Macaca fascicularis: one gene and its partners. The protein of the gene in region 1 binds, or shares a complex with, the protein of each later gene. Links are inferred from orthologs where the notes say so. Each region holds a gene or a part of one and is shown in the gene's direction. Other genes may lie near its edges.

Evidence for each region.
Region 2: the proteins of FGFR3 (region 1) and FGF23 are in contact, whole or in part, in a cryo-EM structure (PDB 7YSU), measured with the Homo sapiens proteins. The link is inferred for Macaca fascicularis from reciprocal best matches to the Homo sapiens genes FGFR3 and FGF23. Residues at the interface, in NP_000133.1 of Homo sapiens: Glu157, Arg158, Asp160, Lys161, Leu163, Leu164, Ala165, Val166, Pro167, Arg223, Asp244, Leu246, Glu247, Arg248, Ser249, Pro250, Val277, Tyr278, Ser279, Asp280, Ala281, Gln282, Pro283, His284, Ala312, Gly313, Ala314, Thr316, Thr317, Asp318; in NP_065689.1 of Homo sapiens: Ser29, Leu32, Gly33, Ser34, Trp36, Tyr43, Ala45, Ala47, Arg48, Asn49, Ser50, His52, Ile75, Arg76, Ser77, Glu78, Asp79, Ala80, Gly81, Val83, Val84, His117, Gln118, Thr119, Asn122, Gly123, Tyr124, Asp125, Leu158, Ser159.
Region 3: the proteins of FGFR3 (region 1) and KL are in contact, whole or in part, in a cryo-EM structure (PDB 7YSU), measured with the Homo sapiens proteins. The link is inferred for Macaca fascicularis from reciprocal best matches to the Homo sapiens genes FGFR3 and KL. Residues at the interface, in NP_000133.1 of Homo sapiens: Gln286, Leu288, His290, Val291, Val293, Gly299, Thr303, Pro304, Tyr305, Val306, Thr307, Val308, Leu309, Lys310, Glu320, Leu324, Ser325, Leu326, His327, Asn328, Val329, Glu332, Asp333, Thr338, Leu340, Phe347, His349; in NP_004786.2 of Homo sapiens: Ser539, Gln540, Phe541, Thr542, Asp543, Asn545, Val546, Tyr547, Leu548, Trp549, Asp550, Val551, Ser554, Lys555, Arg556, Leu557, Val563, Lys566, Arg568, Tyr571, Val573, Ala576, Pro580.

The regions. Positions count from the first base shown.
Region 1 is NC_088379.1:1,935,357-1,939,606, forward strand, and holds the start of FGFR3 (fibroblast growth factor receptor 3), read left to right. Parts: upstream 1-1,450; 5' UTR 1,451-1,638; intron 1,639-2,008; 5' UTR 2,009-2,110; coding exon 2,111-2,219; intron 2,220-4,250.
Region 2 is NC_088385.1:5,238,102-5,242,138, reverse strand, and holds the start of FGF23 (fibroblast growth factor 23), read left to right. Parts: upstream 1-1,237; 5' UTR 1,238-1,363; coding exon 1,364-1,574; intron 1,575-4,037. UniProt on the Homo sapiens protein: Regulator of phosphate homeostasis. Inhibits renal tubular phosphate transport by reducing SLC34A1 levels. Up-regulates EGR1 expression in the presence of KL. Acts directly on the parathyroid to decrease PTH secretion. Regulator of vitamin-D metabolism.
Region 3 is NC_088391.1:12,724,689-12,728,962, forward strand, and holds the start of KL (klotho), read left to right. Parts: upstream 1-1,474; 5' UTR 1,475-1,492; coding exon 1,493-2,317; intron 2,318-4,274. UniProt on the Homo sapiens protein: May have weak glycosidase activity towards glucuronylated steroids. However, it lacks essential active site Glu residues at positions 239 and 872, suggesting it may be inactive as a glycosidase in vivo.

The DNA.
Region 1 (4,250 bases):
AAAAAAAAAAAAAAAAAAAAAAAAAAAAAAAAAAGAGCAGGGCCAGTGTGCTGCTGTGCCCTGGGGAGCGGTGTCCTGGGAGGGGCCTGACTGGCAGTGGCCTGGGGCTGTGCTCTGGAGGGGGCTGGACAGTGCACTTGGAGGTTAGTGAGGCTGGGCCCCAAGATGGTCTGGGGACATGCACTTGGCCAGAGCAGGAAACAAGGGTGGCCGAGGACAAGTGCTGAGCCACCAAGTGGGCACAGAGAGGTGGGCATGAGGGCTCCCTGGGAGCAGAGCCCTTCCAAGGCCCTGAGGTCAGTCCAGGGACACCCTGGCCTCTGGGAGCTGCAGGGTTGAGCTGTGCATGGGCTGGGTAGGGTCAGCAAACAGCCAGTCACTGAGGGACTTTTAGCGCCCATTTTCCTGATGACTACATTTAGTCCTGGAAGCCACAAGCCAGGCGGGCAGCAGACTCGGCCGGCCCTCCCCCCAGCTCACTGGCTCCCATGGGCTCCGGACCCCCTTGGGCTTTGCCTGAAGATGGGAGCAGTTGGCCTTTTCCTTGTGAGGGTGGACACAGAAGCTAACAGTCATGTGGGGTAAGGGGACCCAGACACCCGCAGCGTCCCCCGCAGGGCAGTATCTTCCCCTCCTGGGAACCCACCTCACCAGTCCCAACCCTCCTCAGCTGGACTCTGAGCCCGCCCCGTGGAGCCTAGAACCTCGGGCCAGCTCAGGCTCTGCCACCAGCTCTTCGTTATTCTCCCTCAGAGCCGGGCTGCGCTCCCCAAGCCAGGGGTCTCCAGCCCCTGCCCTTCATTCTAGGCCGGGCAGGCAGCCAGTCCCAGGCCTGTGTCCTCCTGGGGGGCAGGGGTAGGGACCTCTCGGGGCTGGGCACTCAGGCGGCTTAGGTGCATGCGGCTCGGCCCCAGGTTAGGCAACGCAGCCTCTGCTCCTCGCCAGTCAGGTACGCAGGCCGCACCGGGCTGCCCCAGGCCTGCGGCGCACACCGGAGGCTCGGCCTGGAATGCCGCCCTGCCCTCCTCCACCTGAGGAATTCCCGCTCACACCACAGGGTTCAGCTCCGCGGCATCTTGGCGACGCCTCCTGACATCCCGACCCCCGCCGAGACCTCCCCTCTGAGCTCCTGAGCACAGCCTCAGGGGACCCGAGCTGCGCGCTGTGCAAACGGAGGCCTGCGCTCGCCCTCGGTGCGCCCCGTGCCCACCGCCCACCGGGCCGCCCCGCGGTGCGATTGGGGGCCTCGCCCGCCTGCCCCGGCTCCCACGCCCTCGAGACCGCCGGGCGCCCCCGCCCGGCCACGCCCCCTCGGATGCCCCGCTCCGCCCCGAGGGGGCGTGCCTTGCGCCCCGGCGAGTCGGGCGGGGGCCGGGCGGGAGCGGGGCGGGGCCGGGGCGGGGCGCGGACCGTCCCCCACTGGCTGCGGCGCGCGGGGCAACCCAGGCTCAGTGCGCGGTGGCGGCGGCGGCGGCGGTGGCGGCGTCGCGAGCAGCTGGCGCCGCGCGGTCCTGCTCTGCCGGTCGCACGGACGCACCGGCGGGCCGCCGGCCGGAGGGACGGGGCGGGAGCTGGGCCTGCGTACAGCGAGCCGGAGCGGGAGCCGCGCCTAGCGAGCCGGACTCCGGCGCCCGCCAGGTCGGTGCTTGGGTCCGGGCAGGCGCGCGGAGGGGTCCAACGGTGCGCGCGGAGGGGCCGGGGCGCGGCAGTCGCGGAACCACAGCAGTCCCTGCGGCGGGCCGGGCCGGGGCGCGGGCTTCCCGCTCCGGAAAGTTTGCCGCCGCCGCCGCCGCCCTGGGAGGGCTCTGCAGCAGCCAGGGAGGGAAGGGGGAGGAGGGAGGAACCGCGGCGGGGAGGAGGCGGCCGGCGCCAGGCGGCCCGGGAGCTCTGGGCGGCGGCGGCGGCGGGCGGGGCGGCTGGGGGTCGGAGGGGTCGGGGCGCAGGAGCCGGCCACCGCCGCTTTCGTCCCTACCCGCGCCGCTAACGAGCTGCCCTCCTCCTCCCGCAGTTTCCCAAGCGGCGCCCGCCTCCCGCCGGTGCCCGCGCCGGGCCGTGGGGGGCAGCATGCCCGCGTGCGCCGCCTGAGGACGCCGCGGCCCCCGCCCCCGCCATGGGCGCCCCTGCCTGCGCCCTCGCGCTCTGCGTGGCAGTGGCCATCGTGGCCGGCGCCTCCTCGGAGTCCTTGGGGACGGAGCAGCGCGTCGTGGGGCGAGTGGCAGGTAAGAAGGGACCCACTGGGCACGGGAGGGGCCGGCCCGTGCGGGCAGAGGCGTTGGGGACGGGAACCGGCCCCAGGTCGGAGGGAACTCCGGGTGTGAGTGACGCCCCGGGGTCAGCGCCCGGATTCCGCTGCCTCCTTCCCGGAGAGCGCGTCCAGCGGTAGCGCGGCGACTTGTGGGGCGCCTGGAGCCGCAGGTACCCCCCAAATGCGAGGCCGCCACGGGGAGCCAGGCCGGGGGTTGGCGTCCGCAGCCCGGTCCCCTGCGGCTCCCCAGCCCTGGCCTGTCGGGAGGGCGCGGGTTTCCCCATTTCCACGATTCCCGCTGTTCTTCGGGTTCTGCGCAGACGGAAAGTTCCCATTGTTGGCGTCCCCCTCCCCCGGGCCCCAGTTTGTGGCGAGCTTCGGCCAAGGGGAGAGGCCGGACTTCTGAGGGTGGGTGTGCGCGTCAGCGAAGCCCGGCCCCTGCCCGCCGGACGAGGCTGCAGCCTCCAGCGCCCCCGCTGCCGACCCTGCCAGTGCCTGGGGGCTGAGGGCGCTTCCCCGTGGGTGCGCGCCGAGCTCCAGGCGAGCGAGGAGCGCGTGTCCCAGCGTCGCGGGCCCTAGACCGGGCTGGCGGTCCAGGTCCTGCGGGACGTCAAGGGTCTGAAGGGAGGTGAGGGGAAGGGGCGCCCGGCCCGCCCTGCACGCGCGCCGCGGTTCCTCGCGGGTCGGGCCGAGAGCTCCGGTGCCGCCGCCCCGTACACGCTGCCGGCTCCGGGCGGGCGAAGGGGGCGCGCACAGCCCAGCCCGGCGGCCGCGCGGAGGGAGGCCCTGGCCCGGTGAGTTCGCGCCCCACCCGGGCCCAGGCCCGAACAGCCGCTCCTTTGTACCTCGGCGCGGCCACAGACCGCGCATTGATGGCGGCGCGGCGGCTCGCGGGGAGGTGTGAGCGGCTGCGGGCGCGGCAGGCCGGGGAGGGCGCCGGGAGGGCCGAGGCAGATGGCGGCCGCCCCGCCCGCGCCCCCGCGCCCCTTTCTCCGGCGGCGGCTGCAGCCTCCCGGAACAATGTCATTTTTTTTATGAATGAAAGTGGCCCGGCGCTTGAATGTGCGTGTCATTCAGCGGCGTGACAGGGGCCGTCGGGAGGTCAGCGCGCGCTTTTAGCGCCTGCTCGGGCGGCCCCGCTTCCAGGGGTGCGGGAGGGGCGGCCGCGGGGGGAGCCTGGCTTTCGTATTCTCATTCAGATAAAGATATTACTCCCTACGGCCCGGGAATGTCAGCCAGCCCCGGGGAGGGGCGGCGGCCAGGCTACAGAGCCTCTCCCGGATCCCCGGCGGGCGCGCGGGGCCTCCCCTACTCGCCCCTGGAACGCCCCGCCCCCCGCCTTGGGGCGGCGACCCCGCCCGCACTGGAGCTGGTGAAACAGGTAGTGAGTGAGTTGATCGGTCAATAAACTTAATCCGGTTCCTTAACAAGATGGGCCGGGCAGTAAAAATACAAAGACCTCGTGAAATGGACTGAGGTCTAGGCTGGCGCTTGCCTGGGAACATAAATTATGGAGCCTTGGCTGGCAGTGGTCAAGGGCGGTGGGGAAGGTTTTGGCCCCTGGACTGCCCTGGCCACCCCAGGCCCTGCCAGGACAGCCGCCATCTCCCCAGAGGGCTGTGTTCCTGGTTGGAGCCTAGGGGGACCCCCCAGGGTGCAGAGAGGAAGACAAGGTCGGCTCTCCCACAGCGCCACACCCCCCAGCAGGGGTCTCGGGGTGCAGGGTCTTTCCTGAAGGTGCTGACTGAATCCTCCCCCACCCCTCCTCTGCCGGGCTGGACTTTGAGCCGCGTGGGCCTCTGGGTGGTTCATTAACCTGGGCTGAGCGTGGCCTCCAGGTCCTTGTGTAAGCCTAGGAACCCCTCGTTACTCACCCCCCAGCCCCCCAGCTCTCAGGTACTTGGAGCTGGAACTGGGAATGGGGCACCCCTTGTTACAGCTGAGCTTGGGTGGGAGTCCAGGGGCTTGGGGGTCTCCTGGAGGAGGGGGGTCCAAAGTCACCCCA
Region 2 (4,037 bases), on another chromosome or scaffold:
GCTTTGTAAACTATAAAAAAAAAACTGCACAAATGTAGGGTAACAGATGCCATTTCTTTCTGTCTATACCTGTATGCTTGCACTCATTTTGTATTACGGTTACTTATTTTTATCTGCCTCCTGCATTAGATTTGAGCTCCTCGAGATAGGAATCACATCTTGCTGTCTCCTATATCAACTTGTACGTGATGTCTAGCTTGATGCCTGTACATGGCATGTACTCAGTACATGGGAAATTGGAAGAGGAGCAATCTCCTTGGGTATTTTTTCGGGTGTATGTTGCAGTAGCTTGCTCCCCTTTAGACTGTGCGTGCCAGGACTATTCCCCCCAACATGAGGTGTAGCTTCCCAGAGGGCGCACTGTGAACAGCATCTGCAGGCAGGCATCCAGCACCAAGCTGAGCACTCATGTACAGACACTAAATGTGGGGACACCCTGTCCTGAGGCTCGGATTCCCGGTGCTCAGCCAGCAGCCTTTCCAATCCCCATGAGGTCTCTGAACGGGTCTCCTTACTCCTGGAGAGACTATTCATTTAGTTGTCCTCGATAGTCCAAACTAGGGAAACTGAGAAATTGAAACTTGGCATGTTCAGCGAAGTCCAAACTAAGGACGCTGAGAAATCGAACCTTGGCATGTTCAGTGAGCTCAAGACCTTGCTTCTTTTTCTTCCATTTCAAAATCTTCCCAAAATGGCAACTTTGGTTTTTGTGCCCCTGCTCCCAGCTCCCATCTTTCACGAATTGGGGGTTCTCAGAGGATGCCATCTGCCTGACGGTGTCATGTATCTCTATATCCTACAAGCTAGCCACCGAATCCTGCTCATAGATTAAGCACTGATACATACTTGCTGATTGGAATTTAAAGAAAACCAAAATAAGTAAACTCGACGGGAGATTAATTGCCTGGGAGTCGGTTGACTGCTTGACTGAAGCTGGATTTTTTTTGGGAACCGCTGGCTGCCTTCGCATTTCCTGATGGACGTGGGACAGGTCAACAGACAGCCCAGAGCGGCAGATAACTTTTGCCCACGCGTCATTCATTTTTTTGGAGCGTTGGCTTGAAATTGAGGGGGGTGTGTGTGTCTGGAACCGACGTGCCTTCCGTGCGCCTCCGGGGTCTCTGCACTCTCTTTCAATGGGCTGATTACAACACAGAGGATGTGGACAGCGGAGTTTTTCCTGTTTGATGTCACACTGCTACCCTTTAAAAGTCTGATGGCAAAAAGGAGGGAATTCAGTCTAGGATCCTCACACCAGCTACTTGCAAGGGAGAAGGAAAAGGCCAGTGAGGCCTGGGCCAGGAGAGTCCCGACAGGAGTGTCAGGTTTCAATCTCAGCACCAGCCACTCAGAGCAGGGCGTGATGTTGGGGGCCCGCCTCAGGCTCTGGGTCTGTGCCTTGTGCAGCGTCTGCAGCATGAGCGTCATCAGAGCCTATCCCAATGCCTCCCCATTGCTCGGCTCCAGCTGGGGTGGCCTGATCCACCTGTACACAGCCACAGCCAGGAACAGCTACCACCTGCAGATCCACAAGAATGGCCACGTGGATGGCGCACCACATCAGACCATCTACAGTGAGTAGGACTTCAAGCTGGGAAGAAGGGGTGCGCCCCTGTTGTCCATCTACAGGGGGCTTGGGGAGGTTGGGGACTAGACTGGAGGGCTAATCCAACCCTCCAAGCTTTCTGCCCAGGAACCACTTATTGTCTGTGTGTGTGTGTGTGTGTGTGTGTGTGTGTGTGTGTATTTAAATCTTAGGGGAAGATTCTGTCACTCTCCTAATTAGTATTTGCTGGTTTTTCTAACATGCATACTTTTTGTTTAAACTAAAACCCTTCCCACAGTAGGAGCCATATTCCCTTTGCCCCATCAAAAGATTCAGAAAATATACTGAAAAAAAGCAAGGAGTCTAAGAGAAAAAGAAGCCAGGCAGATCAACAGACACTAAGTTTCAGCTCCTGGACTTCAGGCTGGGTTAACTAGGCAGGTTGGAAAGAAGATTCCCAGGTCATACCCAGATTGTAATAGATAAATCTGGGGGCTCTTTCCAATTCTGGCCTTATAAAAATTCTTGGAAAAATGTATTAAACACAGACCGTCCAGGAATGTTGTCTTGGTGAGAATGGCCAAGTATACAACCCATCCACCCATTCATTTGTCCATGCATCCATCCATCCAACCTTTAAACTTTAACAGGTTTAAAGGCTGTTTCAGATACTCAGGTACCCCGGTACCCAGTACGCATTGGTGATTCTTCTCCGTGGAACTGAAAGGTGTCCAGTCAGTAGCAAGTCAAGCTAGTTAGAAACTTATTGGCAATGTGAGACAACTGGAATGTTTTTAAAGATCAGGTTTGTGGAGAATTGGATCACAATCCACAATAATCAATCCATTAGCAACGATTCAAATGAGGGCCACTTTGTGCGCACCTATATAAGGGGTAATGTGGTGGGAGCAGGGATATTGAAAAAGACTGGATCTTCTATTTTAAGAAAACATGTGAATACCTCTGAGAATATATAAAAATGCAAAGTGATCCAATATAGCTCAAATTAAGGGAAAGAAAAATTAGTTAGACAATCTCTAACTAAAGAAAACATAGGAATTATGATTTGCCTTTTATTGTTGTAATAAGTTAATTATTTTTGCTGTGACCTTGCTGTGTGTGAGGCATTTATTCTTCTAGGAACCAAAGGTCCTTAAACCTGGTTGCAAGATATATAACATGCAAAATTAAGTTGCAAGATATATGACATGCGAAATTGACAGTTTAAACCTCCTCAAGTGCTAGATGCATATTGATAGGAGATAAAAGGAGAGAGAAAAGTTCTCTCCAAATACCAAACAGGTTCCAGAACTCTAGAGGATATACTAAGACTCAGGAGTCAACATCTTGGAAACCAAGTGTGAGTCTCGTGGCAAAAATTTCAATTAAATCTGGATATACTTGATGAACCCCAAGTGTTGTTCATTTTATTCAATGGATATTTAACAGGATCTACAATGTGCCTGGCATTCTATCAAGCTCTGTGACTGAAAAGTAAGACACAACCCCTCAAGGACCTTGTGGTCTGTCGTCCTGCCTTGTCAGCCAGCTCACTACCAGACTTTAGGAAATGCGACTTTGCGCCTCTCATGGAGCGGCCACTCTTACTCTGATTCAAGACTCTATGTGATTTAAAATGCAGAATAGTAGATGATGGTAAATTGTTTTGATTCTCTTAGATGGAAAGGGCGGCATCCAACTAGAGAATGTTTACACAACTTGTCTCGAATCCTGGAATCCCATTGCTGAAAGGAACTCCTTAAAGACGTTTCCTCCTGAACAAGAATTAGGGTAGAACGGAACAGGCTGGCTACGGTGGGGAGTGAGTGTGAAGAGTCGACCTCCTGGGCTGGCATTCTGAACTGTAGACCTTTTCCTTGAAAACCCACCTCGTATCAGGCCCCAAGGGATCATTGAGTGCTAGCTGAATTAAAAGGATTGAGAGGCAGCAAAACAAATGGAACTGACTTCAGATCTTTAAAAACAGAAATACGGTTTTGTTTTCTTAGACACAGGCACTAGCTAAACATTGCATCTTTAAAGAGTTAAACACGAATATGGGGAGGGGAACTTAGGGTCAGGGGAGTGGGAGAGAGATCTGCCTTTCCTAGTCTATGTAGATAACTTTTTGTACTGTTCAATCAGTTGTCACGTGTATTATGGGGGGGAAAAAGTGCAGGAAAAAAATTACACAATACAATTAAAAGTTACCCAAAAGAGGCCAGGTGTGGTGGCTCATGCATATAATCCCAGCACCTTGGGAGGCCAAGGCAAGAGAATCACTTGAAGTCAGGGGTTAAAGACCAGCCTGGCCAACATGGGGAAACCCTGTCTCTACTAAAAATACAAAAATTAGCTGGGCGTGGTGGTGCGTGCCTGTAATCCCAGCTACTTGGGAGGCTGAGGCAGGAGAATTGCTTGAACCCAGGAGGCGGAGGTTGCAGTGAGCTGAGATCACACCACTGTGCTCCAGCCTGGGCGACAGAGCGAG
Region 3 (4,274 bases), on another chromosome or scaffold:
TTTATTGCCTTTAAATTTGTATGAAATAATGCGGGGAACATAGATCACTGGGAGAATGGATGCACCTCTGTAAGGATCTTAGTCATTCAACACACGTGTAGGGATGAGGAAACTGAGGCACGACTTACTGGATAGGAAGGTAGAGATATTAGCAAGAGCCTTCCCTTGTCTGGGCTTTCTTTCTATCTTTGAGTCACCTTTGCGCAGTTTTTCATTGCACTTCACAAGCCTCTGAGGCGGCAGGGCAGACAGGACACCCCTATTTTATAGACGAAGAAACTTAGGCTTACAGAGGTTTCCTGCCCAAAATCATAAAGGTGGAGCCTAGACCTTCTCAGTCTCCACCAACTGTATCTCGGTTATTCACAATCCTTTCTACCCACATCCAAATGGACACCGTGGCTCTGCAATTTCTGTCAAAAGGGCTCTTTGGCAACAGGAAAAACGTCATGGCTCCATTGTATTGTAGAGGATGGGAATGGGTGTTCCGGCTAAATCCCCCCTCCCCTTTCCCTCCACAGCTCAGATGGCAAATGTGGGACCCAGGGACCTCCCTCTCCAGCAGGGCTGTGCGCACAACTTTGCACAGATTACCTGCTAAGTCAGAGCCGAAAGCTAACACAGGTGCCAAAGGATAATAAAGGTGAATGAGATTTACTCAAAATTGGAAACTTGGTGTTTGGTTTTTCAGGAGAACAATCAACAACTGTGATTTGAAGTTCACCAGGGAATTCTGATAGATCTAATCAAAGACAGAGTGCTGGTTTGAAATGATTAAAAGGTAACAGTAAAAGGGAGAGTAAAACCCCAGTCCCAACGCAACCCATAAATCTACTTTGTCTTCCTCGAAAGAGGGGTGCGCGTGGGCTAGTCTCCCGGCGATCATCTCACCTAAGCGGGGAATCCCTTTCTCTCAGCACACGGTGAAGTTCCCCCTTGGCTGTCCCACCTGGCCGTCCCTCTAGGATTTCGGCCAGTCCCTAATTGGCTCCAGCAATGTCCAGCCGGAGCTTCTCTGGGCCTCCGAGTGGGAGAAAAGTGAGAGCAGGTGCTTCCCCAACCGCGCGCTCCTCCAGGGCCCGGCAGGATCCCGCGCCCAAGTCGGGGCTAGTTGGTCGGCGCCTTTTCTCCCAGACGAAGCCGCTCCAGGGCTGATCTCGGAGGACGCGCGGCCGGCAAAGAGAATGAACCTGAGCGTCCCCGAAACGTCCTGCGCGGCTCCCGGGAGATGGGAGAAACAGGTGCCTTTCTCCGACGTCCGCTAGCGACGCCTCTAGCACCTTGCCCACTGCCGCGCCCCTCCCGGGGACCTCTGGCCCTCCGCGCCCCCGCCCCCGGTGACAGGGCGGAGGCAGGCCCGGCTCAGGTAATTATTGCCAGCGGAGCCAGCCGGGGAGCGGGGGTGGGCGCGCCGGCGGGGGGCGGGCGGCGCGGCAGGGCGCGGGCATAAAGGGGCGCGGCGCGGGGCCCCGGCGCCTGGCTCCAGCGCAGCATGCCCGCCAGCGCCCCGCCGCGCCGCCTGCGGCCGTCGCCGCCGTCGCTGTCGCTGTCGCTGTTGCTGGTGCTGCTGGCACTGGGCGGCCGCCGCCTGCGCGCGGAGCCGGGCGACGGCGCGCAGACCTGGGCCCGTTTCGCGCGCCCTCCCGCCCCCGAGGCCGCGGGCCTCTTCCAGGGCACCTTCCCCGACGGCTTCCTCTGGGCCGTGGGCAGCGCCGCCTACCAGACCGAGGGCGGCTGGCAGCAGCACGGCAAGGGTGCGTCCATCTGGGACACGTTCACCCACCACCCCTTGGCACCCCCGGGAGACTCCCGGATCGCCAATGTGCCGTCGGGCGCGCCGTCGCCGCTGCAGCCCGCCACCGGGGACGTGGCCAGCGACAGCTACAACAACGTCTTCCGCGACACGGAGGCGCTGCGCGAGCTCGGGGTCACCCACTACCGCTTCTCCATCTCGTGGGCACGGGTGCTCCCCAATGGCAGCGCGGGCGTCCCCAACCGCGAGGGGCTCCGCTACTACCGGCGCCTGCTGGAGCGGCTGCGGGAGCTGGGCGTGCAGCCGGTGGTCACCCTGTACCACTGGGACCTGCCCCAGCGCCTGCAGGACGCCTACGGCGGCTGGGCCAACCGCGCCCTGGCCGACCACTTCAGGGATTACGCGGAGCTCTGCTTCCGCCACTTCGGCGGCCAGGTCAAGTACTGGATCACCATCGACAACCCCTACGTCGTGGCCTGGCACGGCTACGCCACCGGGCGCCTGGCCCCCGGCATCCGGGGCAGCCCGCGGCTTGGGTACCTGGTGGCGCACAACCTCCTCCTGGTGAGTGCGAGGGGCCAGGCGGAGGGCCACGCGGGGGAGACAGAGGGCCCCAGGTGGGGCCAGGGGGAAGTGTGGGAACTGAGATTCCCCCAGACGAGGCTTCACTTGGACACGTGTATGTGGTCACCAGGGGGAAACTGAGCAGCTCTGACTTCCGTTGGAAAGTGAGGAATTAGGAGATAAATCCCTCAGTGGGCACACGAGTGAGTGCCCCTTGGAGCCCATCTGTGGAAAGGAAGTGGGAATCGATTTCAGCAGTGAGGAAAGGAACTCCTTTCTCTGGGTGTAGAGGAATTCCTAGAGGTGATGGCGGGGTGGATTTGCTAGGGGAAACTACAGGAGAGAATGAGCAGGGTGGATGAAGGAAACACGTTTGTTCTTAAGCTGCACAAGAGAGAATTACTGTCTGTGGAGATGTCACGAGTTCAGTGTTAATCCAATAAGATCTGTCTTGCTTGTGGCACAAATTCACACTGTTGTGAAAATGTCAAAACACAGCTCCCCGAGAGTCAGCTTTAAACTGTGTTTGGAGGTCCCTTCTGCGGTAGGGTAGGGAACTCTGCTTCCACCAAACTTATTCACCAGGGGTGTGAAGACCACTTTATACAATCTCAAACAAAGCTAGTCATAGAAAAACAGAAACAACTGCAGGGTGATATAGATTGTTCTACCACACCTGTATTTCTACAGTGCTCTCTACAGTTGAAAGGGTTCCTCACTTATGACATTGTTAGCCTGATAAAATTAATTGTAACACCCCTGCGCAAAAGATTTTATTAATTTTGACAGCAAGAAATATTTATTATGCCATGGTAAAGTTGTCTCAAGTATTTCTTCCTCCTTTTTTCTCCTTAGTGTTCAAATTTAGGTACCATTGTTTTCTCCTTAGTGTTCAAATTTAGGTACCATTGTTTTCTCCTTAGTGTTCAAATTTAGGTGCCATTGTTTTGGGGATTCATTTATAATCATGTCAGTTGTTAGTACACTTTGTACAGAATTTTGTGTCACAATAAAATATTTTATGTACATATATAAACATTTTAATAAAAGTGTTTAAATGTACAGCTTTTGGTACCCAATTTTGATGTCTTGTGGGCCTACTGGAAGACCTATTTTTAAATTTAGAATTCAGCCACATATTCTGAACAAAGTCAGTATGAAAACCATTTCTAAACACTTTTAATTAAAGTCATAGATAATATGGGCAGAGCACTACTGGGATATTGAGGTAACTTAGTGCTCTGAGCTGCTGGTAATGTTGTAATAATGGCTAAATTAGATTTTATGTCAGTTCCACAAAACCTGTTTGCTGCTACTGGCCAGAAAAGAATGTTGGATTTGTTTGGAAACACATTGTGATTTTTGTGATTTCATACTTATGTATGTCTTTTCATAAGGGTACTTTAGAGCAGTGATTCTTACACTCTTTCAATCCTTTTATGGAACTGAAAAACCCTAAAGACCACCAGTGTATGGTTGGTGATAGAAAAACTATGGGAAGAATGGTCTCACTTTTTGAAGAAAACATAAGCAAGTTATCAGTTCATACTGGAAGCAAATAAATGGATCAGCTGGAGGATCTAATAGATCATGCCCGTAAAATCTTTACTTTAGATTTAAATCCTACAAGTTCTATTTTTAGAGTCCCTAGGATAAACTCGTGTATACAAAGTAGTCAGTTGTTATTATAGTGACTTATAGGATCATTTTATTATAAGATAAAGACTTGCATGCTCTCTGGAGCTCTGGTGTTTTAAATAATCAACATGTTTTAGATCTTTGTGCCTACTCGTGGTCCTCTGATTAACTTCTCAGTTATATTTTTCAACACTTAACACAAAAAACTTGCCAAACACTAACCATCCTTCCTAGAAATGCAGTGGACTTTGTATTTAGAGGAAATTAGTAACAGGTGAATGCTTGATTTTGCTGATGCTGCAAACAAACTGCTAGTTGG